Linked DNA regions of Rhinolophus ferrumequinum. The protein of the gene in region 1 interacts with the protein of each later gene in a biochemical or structural test. Links are inferred from orthologs where the notes say so. Each region holds a gene or a part of one and is shown in the gene's direction. Other genes may lie near its edges.

Region 1 (7,204 bases):
TAAAAGAAGTTAAGATGCCAGAGAAAAATACATGAAGACAAAGTGGGGAAAAAAACAATAGAAACAGGTATCAGCCCTCTGATATCATGGTGAATACTAAAAATTTACTCAAATATAAAATATGCAAGTTGCTCTCTCTCTAGCACAAATTATCTATAATTGTTTAGTATAGAAAAAATGCTGTTCATGTTCATGTGTGATATCAATATTAGCAACTATAATCTACTGTGGAATTGAAAGCAATTTGTTTTAACTACTGTAATTTTATGAAAAAGATTAGTTTTATTTTTTGGATGTTCATTAACCTCCTTCAAACCTCTCTATTTTTCTACTTACATCTTTCCATATTAGACATCTTCCTGAAAAATTGCCCCCCAAATAAGAAGTTCCATGTGTTAACATTTCATTGACTTATATTAAAAATAGGAGCCTTGTTCCCCAGAGGGGGAAATACCATTTTGTTGTGCAATAGATAATAAAATCACATGGAGGTCTGGGGAAAACATTTGTCCCTATTATTCCCTCCTGGGAGGCTATATCATGGGTACTAAAGACAACTGTCGGTTCTGCATCACCCTGTAGTCATATTTCCTTCCTGCCTCAGTCATTGCAGAATTTGGTGAAACTGCAGGCAGCGAAATTACGACTGCCCTCTTTTGTTTCATTGTGAACCACACACATATCCAGAGTCACTATTGAGCCAAGGATTGAGGAACAACTTTAGGGGATTCTAAACTCTATACTTTGACGGAAAACTGGTATCAAATGTCTTTTTCCTTCAAGCACTAATATTAAAATCACATGTTAACGTAATTAACCTAATTAACATAATTAATGTTATCCTTCCATGAAAATAACCAACTTTTTTATTTTTATGAAGATTGTAGAATGATGTAAGTTATACTTGTCAAATGTGTTCAGGAACTTAGGTACATGGAAATCAGACGCAATGTGGAACACCATGGAATATCTACATTTGAAACTTAAAATAATTTTATGTCAAATTTTACCCTCACTTACACATGAATCTCATATGGAAAGCAAATAGCAGGTGCAAAGGGTTCATGAAAAATTTATAGGAAAAACTCAATACTGAAAATATTCTACCCATTTACATTTTTTCCTGTAAATTTAGAAAAGATTACAGTAATTCATTTTCAGCAGAATACCTCTTCTTCAGCATATGCAATCTCAGTGCTCACTAGAAGTAATGTGAACATTTCACTGACATTAAAAATAGTATATATTGAATAGCATATATCGTATGATGGCACTACAATTGCTAAAATCCAACAATACAGAATACACATTAAACTCTTATTAGTATCCTACCATGTTTGATTTAAATAAACCTAAATTCTAATAAATTTATTCCTTTTCTAAATGTATTTTAAAGGCTTTTTCCAATTTTTTAGTTATATTTAAGAGATAAGTGCTATCACAAATGCTTCAAGTTTAAAGCAGCAATTTATTCTGAGATTTACTTTTGTCTGCTTTCTTTCAAGTCCAGATTTCAATAACTTGGGGAACATTTACAATAAAGTATATTAATCAAATATTCAGTTTATAATATACATGATTACAGGACTTTATAAAATTGAAATTTTGTATAGGAAGAGTTGGAATATCAATAGTATTTCCTGTACATATTTTTAAAATAGGAGTGAATTGAGTTAATAATTTGGGAAAAATGATTATGCAGAATCTAAAATCAAGACCAATTAGTCTCAAAATAAGACAGGATATAAATGACAGTAAACAGCTTTTTATGTCCATGATTTCAACTGCTCCTACGAACAAATGTGATGAAGGTAAATAAACAATCCTTATTTTATAGCCAAGAACAGATTCTGAAAAGATCAACAGTATTAATTTATTTTAAAAAATATTTACTTACTGAGCATCTACTATGTGACTAGGTATTCTGCTAGGTGTTGAGGACACAGGCATGAACAGAATAATAAAATAATAATAATAATAATAATAATAATAATAATAATAATAATAATGAATCTGTTCACATGGAGTTAAATAAGTCTGGCCCAAGCTAAGTAAACCAGTAAGCACTGAGGTATGGAAGAAAATGACTTCTACTTTGTGCCTGAGTCCCTTACACTTTATCTCTGATTTCAAGGTGAGGATGAACACTGAAGGAAACTTAGTAGGGAGGTACAAGACAGGCAGAAAGAGAAAACAGCATGTGATGTTTCCTAAGTTTAAGAGTAAATCAAATGTATGCTAGAATTAGAAAGTATTTTTTTTTTTACTGGAAATTAGGGTAACTGTAAAAATGTTGTGTTTGTTGGGGAGGGGGCGGTGTTGGCAAAGGACAAATTCTATAACCTGATTCAGAAGGCAAATAAAGAACATTACACAGTTATAAAAAAGTAGGAAACTTACCACTTGAATAAAGCAAAGCATGGACACCTTTCTGGTTCTAACATGCCCAAGTTCAGTTAACATGGTATTGAGGAAAGGGAGAATTGCCTGTACTTAAATGATCATAAAGAATAATGAGTAGTTTTGGCACTGAGGACGAGAGTAGATATATAGACATAATATATAGCAAAGAATATTTACAGTCACATTTCATGCACCAATAAATAATGTATTCACTTCTCAAAGTCCCAAAGCAAACGTGAGTGAGAAAATTTTCATCTATACTCATATTCAGGATTAAACTTTCTAATATTAAATTACTAGACTTCAGCTGTAAATTTCAGTTGAAAGGTTTGAAGAGATTATTAATGAATCTTCTAAAATTCTGGAGCGTGTTTAAAAGATTATTTTAACATAATAAAGAATCTTGCCATAGGTATGACAAAAATTACAGGCATACATTTATGAGCACCTACCGTGAGAGCACTGTGCTGGGCAACTTTATTTCTAGTACTCTACGTGTCATGTTTCAGGTTTCTCAATTTCTCTACCAATAATTCGTATATTGTTAATTTATAACTATATTATTTGAAATACAGCTCAGCTCATTTCATAAAATTGGTCCCAAAGACTTTTCCTTATTTGAAAGGGAGGGGGGGAAGAAGTGGAAAGCTAAATCCTACTGACTACTTCAGACTTGACTTCCTTGGTATTTGTGGTGTTATCTATACGGTCTTTTAGACATCCCCCAAATTTATACCAAGTCAGGGACTTGAGATGAGATCAGCAATCTATCAGTCTCAAAGACCGCATTTGTGAGCCATGCTTGTTGCCTTAACGTCCTATATACAGGTAACTACCCATTTAGATGGTAAGTCACGGCCTGTTAATAGCTTAACTTTGACTCTTGACGCCCAAGATCTCGTGGGACTACTCTAAGGGGAAAGCCCAGAGGACCGCTCAGAGCAGGGAGGCTGGGCGGGGGGCAGGCGGAGGTGACAGGTGAGTCTGGTGTGGATGAGGAAGTGAGACAGGGGCAGTGTGGGTATTACTCATTTTGCTTCCCCGCCGAGCTGGCTTGCAAGCGGAACTTCTAGCCTCTCTTTCGGTCCAGCTGAAGTTCTATCTAATTGAAGTCACTTCCCATCCCAGTTCCCTGAGGGGAAAACCATGCGTGTAATGGAAGGGAGTCAGAGCGGCGGGGCGGGGGTCAGGTAGCCTCTCTCGTGAAGCCGTGCGTCCTCGCGGTCAGAGGCTGAGCTTCCCAAAACAGTCCTTCACCGTTCCCGAACCTGCCCTTCTCCTAACCCGGGCAACTCCCGGGGGAGTCCGGGGCACGACCCTCTGCGGAGCCCCGGGGTGCGCAGAGCGGACGAACGCTGCGTGGGAGCGGAGCCTAACCTTGAGGAAGAGGGAAGACAGGTTGTTCCGGTTACTCTGAGGACACAAGGTCCCGACTAGAATCGGTCAGACCCGTACGAGCCCCAAGCATTCGCGGCGGGTGTGGCCAGTTCACAGGCAGAACGCGGCGGAACCTCCTCCTTTACCTTTCTCAGTCTGACAGCCTGTCGCCCGTCTGACCAGGTCCCCACAGTTTCCCAATGTCTCCCTCCCCCATCCCAAGACACCTGAGGGAAACTTTTCCCTCGGCCCTCAATTCAAACACAGCTGTTTCCAGTGTTGCCGCAAACCGTCTTCTCCCTAGCAACAAGGTTCCGGCCGTAGAGCGAGCGGCTCTAGGTGTAAGGAAGGTGATGTCGTAAAGCCGCGAGTGTCGTAAACCAGGTGCGGTGGGGAGGGGGGAGGGGTGGAGGCGGAGGGGTGGGGGGGAGGAGGGAGGGAGGGGGAGGAGGTGACTCGAGCATTTAGACACAAGCGAGAGGATCATGGCGGATGGCCCCAGGTGTAAGCGCAGAAAGCAGGCGAACCCGCGGCGCAATAACGGTGAGTGGCGGAGGGGACCGGGGAGCGGCGGAGTCAGGGGGAGCCGGGCAGCCGGGGCGCCCCGGAGGTGAGGGGGGCGAGCCGGGCTGGGGGCGGCCGGGGCAGGGACTGGCAAAGTGGAGTGGGAAAGTAGAAAGTAGTGCTCTCTGCCCCCCTCCGCTGCCGGAGCCGCGCCGCGGCCGCTCGCTCTCCCTGAACCGTTATGTCTCTTACCTGGTCTCTCTCCGCCTAGCGGCTCCTGCCGCCCCTGCCGCCTCCCTGGACCGTTAGCCGGCGCCGCCGCATCCCCGGCGCAGGGCGAGCGGTCGGGACGCGGCGGCCACTTTTCTGGTCCCGGGTGGAGAGGCTGTTGCTTCTTTTCTCACTTTTCCCCACTCTTCTGCCCCTCGCGCCTCCCCGCTCCCCCTCCTCCTCAGCCCCCTCCGCCGTATTCTCCCTCAGCGCCGAGGCCCCCGGGAGCCGGGAACTAACTTGTGCCGGCGCTGGCCGTGCAAAGTGGCTTCCGCGCGTCGCGGCCCCAGCCCGCGCCGTCGCTTGGGCCCCGCGGCTCGGGCAGGGTGGGTCGGCTGCGGGCGCGCGGCGGGCGATGGGACGCGGTGGCCCGGCTGCGTGTCGTCCGTGCGCGCGTGTGCGCGGGCGCCGGCGGGGCGCGCCGCGGGCGGACGGGGCTCAGCCCGCTGCTGTAAAGTTGTGACCGGCCGGCGCGCTCGCGGAGTGGGGATTAGCGGCGGAGGCGCGGGTCCCTAAGTGCCCCTCCTCCCCCGCGCCCCGGCCACCGCGCCCTGGGCCGCCGAGGCAAGCCCTGCGAGTGAGGTCCACGTCCTGTGGGGCGCTGGTGGGGCGGCAGGGACGGCGGGGCAGCAGCGGGCGCCTACTTGCTGCTGGGGGCGATCTGTGGATGGCGGCGAGCCGGGCAGCGGGTGTGTTTGTGGAGTTGTTACCTGGTTAGAGACAGGAAAGCACCACAGACAGAGCTCCCTCCCCGGGGAAGACTCCTTCTCCGCGCTGGGATGGGGCTGTGTGCGTACGCCTCTCTCTTTTCTCTTTCGGTTTTTGGGGAAGTTGTTACCTGAGCCGGACGCTCGGAGCGCTGAAGCCGGATAATGGAGCTTGGATGGCGCTCGCGGACTCGGGTGGAAAGGGAGTGGGGGAGGGGGAGGGCGAACTGACGGACGTGCGGGTCGGCTGCTCGCTCTGCAGCTGCAGTGTTTATTGATCTGTGCTGATGTGCCGGGGAAATACACACCCCTCGGCCTGGCGTGAGAGTTTTAAATAAATAAAGAGAGAGACAGAGAGAGAGAGAGCGAGAGAGACCCGAACATGTGGTTGTTGTTGCACATTGGCCTTTTCCAGTTTGGAGAGACGTTGTAAGTTGATTGTATTTTTGCTTATCTCAGGGGCGATTCTGTGCTTTCTCTCCCCCCTGTTCAGCAGCGAAATGTCTGCTGATTGTTATTGTCTGGACAGTTCCTGTGGCGAGAGGGGCAAGACTTGTCCGCCCGGGGGCGGCAGGAGCTCGGGGAGAGGCCCCCGCCCGCCGGCCGGGTACCTGTTTGTATAATAATGGGCGGCAACGGCTCTGCCGCCGGCTGCGGCCCAGGCTATATAAGGAATTACACGTACATTTGGACCGAGGGGCTTGTCTGGGTTCCTGCGTTATTTTTAAAACGAGTTTTTAAGAGTAGGGAAATAAATGCGCCTATAATGGAATCACTGTATCTTCCAGAAAATGAGGAAATATGTGTTTAAGTAAAAACTCTCGCGATCCCCCCGCCCCCTCCCCCGCGCCCGGCCTCTCTTTCTCCCTCCCCTCTGGGATGCGAAACGCGAGGTTTTGTAACCTTTCCTGGCAATTTTAGATTTTGTGTGGGATTTCCTGTCTAGAAGCAGATACGAAGGTTTTAAGCTGTTTCAAGATGTTTCCTTCCAATCGTAAACATTTTAATATATTTGAACCAACATTAAAATCACTGCTTCCACGAATGATTGTAGTTATTCAAATGTTTGCATTTAAAAGCATCAAACAATTATGATCGATAACTAATATGTTGTATCCTCATTGTGAGAGATGACTTGTTACAGTAAGGAGCAGAGCATAGGCTATTGCAATTTTAATTTCCTGTTTTAGCGTCAAATACTGTGTGTTCTGTATTGAGCTGTTGCCGCTGTTGCTGATGTGGCTTTATGAAAGGTAAGTTGGTTCAGAAAGGGTTGTTCGCTTTTTACCTTATTTAAAATGTTCATCGCCATAGAAAGGGGCTTTTCTTGTTGCTGACGACATGTGTGTGACATGTGAGTCTGAACCACCCAGCGTCTGTGCAGCTGCTGTAAACATGTTTACCTGAGCAGGAAAGAATGGATTTTTCTCCTAAAGATCCTGCGATGTGAATATTACACCCATAAGGCATATCAACAGATGACTTAAGGGGGAAAAAAGCTATCCTGAAAGGTACTTGAAATCAACAGGAAAAAGAGGTTCTCGGTCGCTGCAGCAAATGGCAACTTGTGCAGGTAGAAAAAAGATGGTGTTTAGTTTTCTCCTGTATGTATGTCAGCCCCCTCCTGTCTGCTGCTTTCATTCTCAAGGGAGGGATTTATTTACCACGCTTACTGTCAGTGTTTTTCCTTTGTTTTTAATATTAGAAAAACAGATTTGGGGCTGCTTAGCACAAAATGTCTTGTCTGCAGTATGCATTACTCTGAGAAAACAAAAGGTGTTTAAGATAGCACTATACTACTACAGGTATCTTCCATTTTCGTCACTTTTGGCTCTGTCCTTGTATTTCTTTTTGTTCTCAAATGCATTTCATCCATTGCTGATGATTACTGTCGTGCTATTTGATTAAGCCTTATAATTTGCAAATTAAAAATGAAGTTATAT
Region 2 (6,835 bases), on another chromosome or scaffold:
ATCTAAAGAACAAAATAAACAAACTAACCAGAAACAAACTCATGCCGGATCGAGGGGGCTTGGGGATGAGTGAAAAAGGGGAAGGGATTAAGAAGTACAAATAGGTTGTTACACAGTAGTCATAGGGATATCAGGTATCACATAAGGAATATAGTCAATAATATTGTAATAACTACGTATAATGTCAGATGGGTACTAGATCTATTGGGGTGATATATGGGAGGGTGGTTGGGGACAAGGTGAAGGGATTAAGAAATACAAATTGGTAGTTACAAAATAGTCATGGTGATGTAAAGTATTTGGAATGTAATAAATAATGTGGTAATAAATATGTATAATGCCAAGTGGATACTAGTCAGGAGGATCACTTCCTAAATTATATAAATGTCTAACCACTATACTGTACCCCTGAAACAAATATAAAATAATATTGAATGCCAACTCTAATTGAAAAATCAAAAAAGGGGAGAAAAGATAAAGAACAAGAAGAGGTTCAAAGTTCCAGGTACAAAACAAGTATTGGGATGTAATATACAGCATAGGAAATATAGTCAATAATATTGTGATAGCATGGTAGTATCAGATGGTTGCTGGAGTTATCATGGTGATCACTTCTTTAGCATAGGGAATATAATCAATAATGTGGTAATAACTCTGTATAACAGTACCCAGGTGAGTACTATTGAATAATTATGATGTACACTTGAAACTAATATAATATTGTATATTAGCTATATTTTCACAAAAGTCTTTTTTTTTTTTTTTAGAAAAAGAAAACCTTAAGAGAAGCCAAGACTAAATAGTCCTAGGAAACTAGCCACATCAGAAAGGGTTCCTGCTACTAAGGCCAGATGGCCTTGACCTGTGGTTCTTTATACATTAACCCACAGCAGTGGTTCTCAAAGTCCAGTCCCCATACCACAAGTATAGACATTCAGCAGCAGCATTAGCTGGTAAATTGTCAGAGACAAATTATTGGGCCTCCTCCTGGTTACATAGCTAGCAAATGACTGAGTCAGCAATTCCATGTAGGTCTGCTAACCCAAAAGAAGCAACTCTTCTGTTAGCTATGGTTGAGTAAATGCCCTTACCTGGTATGTGTGTGGGGGAGGAGGGGGAGGAGGAATTACTATTTTCCTTTGTAAATTAGTCTACAATTCCAAATTTTTTTTCCCCCAGGTACTTCTACATGAAATCAGATTTGGACATGTTTTCCAGCTACACTTCTACAGGAAGCCTTTCTTTGAGAATGGTCTCTTCATGCAGCCTTCCCTCTGCTGAAAAAGGGTCTGGGATAGGAGAGGATGAAGGGTGGGGTCGTACCCAAACTGAGGGATTCAACAGGACCCTCCTCAGAGAGGCTGGGTCCAGCAGGGCCCTGCCTGTGTAGTGCTGCTCTACTGAGGGACCCTCTCCTGATCTGGGGGATCAGAGAAGCCTCTTGGAGGAGGGAACACTTGAGCTGGGTGTAAAGCAGGGGAAACCAGGAGGGAGGCCAGATCCTTGGGGATCGGTCCAGACCAACACCAACTCTGGGGATGCAGTTGGGGCAGGACCTCTGGGGTGACTTTGGAGTCATCATGGAATCCTGAGGATCTACTCCCTCTCCCTCTTCTAGCCTTCAGGGCTCTATTGTCAAGAAGTGGATTGGAATCACAAGGTTCAGTGTGGTTGGAGCAGACCAGTATGTGTGTGGGGGGGGGGCGGTGACTGGCTGTTTTTCAGGTACAGCTGGCACTGCTGGGACTTCCAGGGACACTAAGTTTTCCTTACCCCTCTCCAATTTCTGCCAAAGGAGGAACACACAAGAAAAAGGGTAATTCAGATGGAAGGGAGGAATCAAGGGGGGTAGGAGGGACTGCCCCTTAGGCCACCAGAGGCCTTCCCCTGCCCCTATGCCACCCACCCACTCACTAGCAGGAGAGCCAGCCATTTATTCTCTATGATCCCGCCTCCTGTCAAAGTCTTCCGGAGCATCCACTGGTGACTCCATTTCTGCTTCTCTTACCTCACTGCCACCTCGTGTGTGTGTGTTCCTTTACCCTCTGGTGCCATCTTTCCAAATTGTACGTCTAAATCTCTAATATTTACACAGCTCCAAGTTTCATGGTGTTAGAAAACCTTACTGTGCTTGTTATGATGATGATTATTTTATTAAAAGTTCTTTGGAAACTCCAGAGGATGAAAAACTAACGTGCCTCAGTCTGAGCACATCATCCTCTGTCTTGAGGCTCCTTCTCAAGGCTCCTGTACTGATAGCTTAGCTGTATCTAGAGAAACTGAAAATTATAGCCTGAAAACAGTAAGCCTTCCCTCTCTGGTGTGAGGTTGTGGCAGAACCATGAGAGTGACAGTGGCCTTTCTAGTCAGCTACGTGGCCCTAAGCTGATTTGGGGGCCAAATATCTGAATTGGAAATCTCATGAGGATGCCTTTCAAGATTGCTGTGAGTTTATAAGAATTGCTAACAGGTCAAGTCAGGTCTTTTCTGACTCGAGGAAACGGAATTTTAACAATGATGTGTAGCTTGCTGAAGGTTAAAAACACAGCTTCTAGTGATGAAAAAGTATAAGAGAATTGTTCTCTTGTGTCCCAGGCAAATGATCCTGAAAACATATTCATCTGAAGGAGACTTGTATTTGAACCTCTCAATCTATAGTCATTTTGAGCCACAGAACAGTTATGGTGATTCTTCTCTTCAAGATCATGTTGATCTGTGCTCACTCTGTAAATTCATATAGATTATTGACTCTCTTTGACCTCCTGAAATCATTGCCATCCATTTTGGGAAGGCAAATATCACTCCCAAGCCAGAGAGACCTGAATTCTAATTCTGAAGTTTAGAAAGGTGGTGCACGACTGTTCCAGAGAGATTAAATGTAGCATTAAACCTCCTCACTGAGAAGCAGGAATATTCTTGGGATTGGACAGGAAAGGCAACAAGTTCTAGAAATAGCACCTTTTGTGGGGGTTGTGACCTTGGGTACTGAACCTGTTAAAGGGAAGAAAAAATCTCCTGGACTATGAACTCCTGGAAGACACAGATTGTTTTAGTCTGTGTTTTTCACAGCACAATCTAGCACAGTAGTACAGTTAAGGGATCCACATTTATTGACTGCATGCTCATGTAAATGAACTGTTTAGGAGGGATAATCTGGTAAACAGAGCAATAACTTTGAGAGGGCTTTGAAAGAGAAGTGTTCGCTTTTGCTCTACTGTAAGTATCAGGCATTATGCTATAGGCTGAGTTTTAAGGTGGGGACTGTGAAAGAGGTGAAAAAGATAAAGCTTGCCATAAAGATCCTTTAGTTTACACATACTGATTTAGTGTTCATAATAGGTTAGTATTATTTCCATTTTTGTTTAACAGATGCTACAACTAAGGCTCAGAGAGGTAATGTGTTTTATCTGGGCTCACACAGCTAGCAAGTGCCTGGGCTCTCCTATCTGAGCCTGAAGCCTTCGCTTATGCTTCCTGTCCCCACACTCCAGAATAACATTCCGCAGTCCACTTAACTCCCAGGTATCAGACTCTGATGGGTCCCTAAGGGATTCCTGCCAGAGTTGCCATCCCTTCAAACCCCCACCCCCACCCCAATGAATCATTTTTCTGCCGAGCGTGGGCCTGGAGCCAGGTGAGGCCACAGCCTCCATTTCAGGGGCTTTCTCTAGACTCTGTCGCTGTGGTTACCTCCAGTAGAATCTGTTTCAGGAAGAGGTTTGTCTGACTGCGCGGACAACGGTGCCACTCATCACTGAAGGAGGGCAGAATCCGGGGCTGGGGGCCGCACGTCGAGAGGGGTGGGGCCAGGGGGCGGCCCCCTTGTGACCAGCCCTGAGGAGAGGTCAGGAGAGAAGGCTGGCTGAGGAGCGCCTGGACAGCAGCAGCTGCTGACGTTCTGAATCACGCGCCTGGGGCCCAAGGTAACCCAGACCTTTAAACAAACAGCGGGGCTGGGGGCGCTGCGTGGGCGGGGGCGGGAAGGGGCAGGGACTTCGGGCGTTCAGCACTGAAGACGTGAGCGTCCAGCGCGTGGAGGGCGTGAGAAGGAGTCCGAATTCTCAGAGGAATTATAGGGAATGAGGGTGCTGAAGCAAGAAACGAGGTGTGAGAGAGAACACAAGCGCGAAGGAGCATGAGAGGGCACAAGAAAGTGGCAGAGGAAAAGACTGCGCTTGGAGGTAGGGGCAAAAGGTGGAACACAGCCAGCCGGAGAAGCACAGGTAAGATGGGAGTAGGGAGACATTTTCTTCCCCTGAGCCCATTTTCCATAGGTGGCCCAGCCATTTTTAAGGTAAAATGTTGACCCAAGTGTGTTTTAGGATATAAGGAATGAACGTCAGAGGAAGCTGTACCAAAGTGAGGCTGCGCAAGGCCCAGGAAAGGCAGTCTGAGGGTGGCGCCTTTTTTAAAGATTCCATCTCTTTCCACCCTAAAGCTCAGGCCGTACCCCCGCCCCCACCTTTTCCAGCCGCCGTCTGCCTGCCTCCCTCCCACCCCGCACCACCCCCTCGGCCCCGGGCAAGATCCGATCGCCTTTAAACCAGGTAACCAACCGCTTCGGTCTCCACACCAGTTCCAGGAGCCTCTGAATAGAGGGGGTGGAGCTCGCAGCGGCCGGTGGGAGGGTCCCGGGGGCGCTAATGGCCCGCCGCGGCCATGACGCCGGCCAGATTATTCACAGCTATCTCTGTCTCATTCCATCTACAGTGGCAGCTCGATTCCAGACGCCTTTCACTCCAGACCAGGCGGTGAGCTGATGGCCCAAGTTCCAGAAGCTGCCTCGTCCTCTGGCTCTTTGGTCCGTTGGAGCTCGAGAGGTGGGGGAGGAGCCTCGTCCGAGGAGGCGGTTGAGAAGGCGGGGGAAATGGAGGTGGAGGCGGTGGGCACGACGAAGGCGTGTGCCGGCCAGGGAACTGAGAAGATGAAGCTGGAGCCATTACAAGAGCGTAATCCTGTGCCTGAGGAGAACCTGACCTGGAGCGGCAGCGGTGGCGACGAGGTGTTCCCTTCAACCCCACCCCGCTGGCCCAGCAGCTCCTCGCCCCTCTGCCCGCGCCGCAAGCCCCGCCCTCGGCCCCAGCCCCGGGCCCGCTTCCGAGGACCGCCCGGACCCGAGGCCCCACCCCCGCCTCCAGCTCATCTGCCGCCGCCGCCGCCGCCGCCGCCGCCGCCGCCGCCGCCGCCGCCGCCGCCGCCGCCGCCGCCGCCGCCGCCGCCGCCGCCGCCGCCGCCACCGCCGCCACCGCCGCCCTCGCCGCGGCCCCGGCACTGGCGCAGACCTCAGCGTAGATCCCGGCCGGCGTCCAGGCCTCGGACGCGGCAAAGCTGTTTTGGTGACTTAGGCGGCTCTGGGGATCGAGGTGGCTTTGGGGACTGGCTGCTGGAGGTGGAGTTTGATCAGGGTCCCGCGGGCTGCTCTCATGTGGAGAGCTTTAAAGTAGCGAAGAATTGGCAGAAGAACCTTCGGTTGATCTACCAGCGTTTCGTTTGGAGTGGGACCCCGGAGACTAGGAAGCGTAAGGCAAAGTCCTGCATCTGTCTTGTATGTAGTACCCATGTGAACAGACTCCACTCTTGTCTCTCCTGTGTCTTTTTTGGTTGCTTTACTGAGAAACATATTCATAAACATGCAGAAACAGAACAGCACAATTTAGCTGTAGACCTCTACCATGGGGTTATATATTGCTTTATATGTAAGGATTACGTATATGACAAAGACATAGAACAGATTGCCAAAGAAACAAAAGAGAAAATGTTGAAATTATTAACTTCCACCTCAACAGATGTTTCTCAACAGTATATGGCATCAGGTGTTGAAGAGAAGCAATCAACCTGTGAGTCAAAGGAACGACAGCCAAAATTGGTGAAACCCAAGAAAAAGAGGAGAAAAAAGTCAGTGTATACTGTAGGCCTGAGAGGGCTAATCAATCTTGGGAACACCTGTTTTATGAATTGTATTGTCCAGGCACTTACCCATATTCCTCTTCTGAAAGATTTCTTTCTCTCTGACAAGCACAAATGTATAATGACAAGCCCCAGTTTGTGTCTTGTCTGTGAAATGTCTTCTCTTTTTCATGCTATGTACTCTGGGAGCCGAACTCCTCACATTCCCTATAAGTTACTGCACCTGATATGGATTCATGCAGAACACTTAGCAGGGTACAGGCAACAGGATGCCCATGAGTTCCTTATTGCAATATTAGATGTGCTGCATAGACACAGCAAAGATGATAGTGTTGAGCAGGAAGCCAGTAACCCCAACTGCTGTAACTGCATTATAGACCAAATCTTTACAGGAGGCTTGCAGTCAGATGTCACATGTCAAGCTTGCCATAGCGTCTCCACCACAATAGACCCATGCTGGGACATCAGTTTGGACTTGCCTGGCTCTTATGCCACATTCAGTTCCCAGAGTCCAGAGAGGGCTGACAGCACAGTGTGTAGGGATGACCACATACCAGGAATCCCCTCACTCACAGACTGCCTTCAGTGGTTTACAAGGCCGGAACACCTAGGAAGCAGTGCCAAAATCAAATGCAGTAGTTGCCAAAGCTACCAGGAATCTACCAAACAGCTCACAATGAAGAAATTACCCATTGTGGCCTGTTTTCATCTAAAGCGGTTTGAACATTTAGGCAAACAGAGACGAAAGATTAATACTTTTATCTCCTTTCCTTTGGAACTGGACATGACTCCATTTTTGGCCTCCACTAAAGAGAGCAGAATGAAAGCTGACCAACCACCAACAGATTGTGCACCCAATGAGAATAAGTATTCCTTGTTTGCAGTGATTAATCACCATGGAACTTTGGAAAGTGGACACTACACCAGC

What was found.
Region 2: the proteins of ZEB1 (region 1) and USP51 form a complex in vitro, tested with the Homo sapiens proteins (2 studies listed by BioGRID). The link is inferred for Rhinolophus ferrumequinum from reciprocal best matches to the Homo sapiens genes ZEB1 and USP51.

The regions. Positions count from the first base shown.
Region 1 is NC_046288.1:2,887,985-2,895,188, forward strand, and holds the start of ZEB1 (zinc finger E-box-binding homeobox 1), read left to right. Parts: upstream 1-4,202; 5' UTR 4,203-4,265; coding exon 4,266-4,323; intron 4,324-5,228; exon of another isoform or gene 5,229-5,333; coding exon of another isoform or gene 5,334-5,343; intron 5,344-6,140; exon of another isoform or gene 6,141-6,507; coding exon of another isoform or gene 6,508-6,514; intron 6,515-6,641; exon of another isoform or gene 6,642-6,818; coding exon of another isoform or gene 6,819-6,834; intron 6,835-7,204. UniProt on the Homo sapiens protein: Acts as a transcriptional repressor. Inhibits interleukin-2 (IL-2) gene expression. Enhances or represses the promoter activity of the ATP1A1 gene depending on the quantity of cDNA and on the cell type.
Region 2 is NC_046284.1:80,835,578-80,842,412, reverse strand, and holds the start of USP51 (ubiquitin carboxyl-terminal hydrolase 51), read left to right. Parts: upstream 1-3,830; 5' UTR 3,831-4,223; intron 4,224-4,322; 5' UTR 4,323-4,547; intron 4,548-4,710; 5' UTR 4,711-4,759; coding exon 4,760-5,142; intron 5,143-5,220; coding exon 5,221-6,835.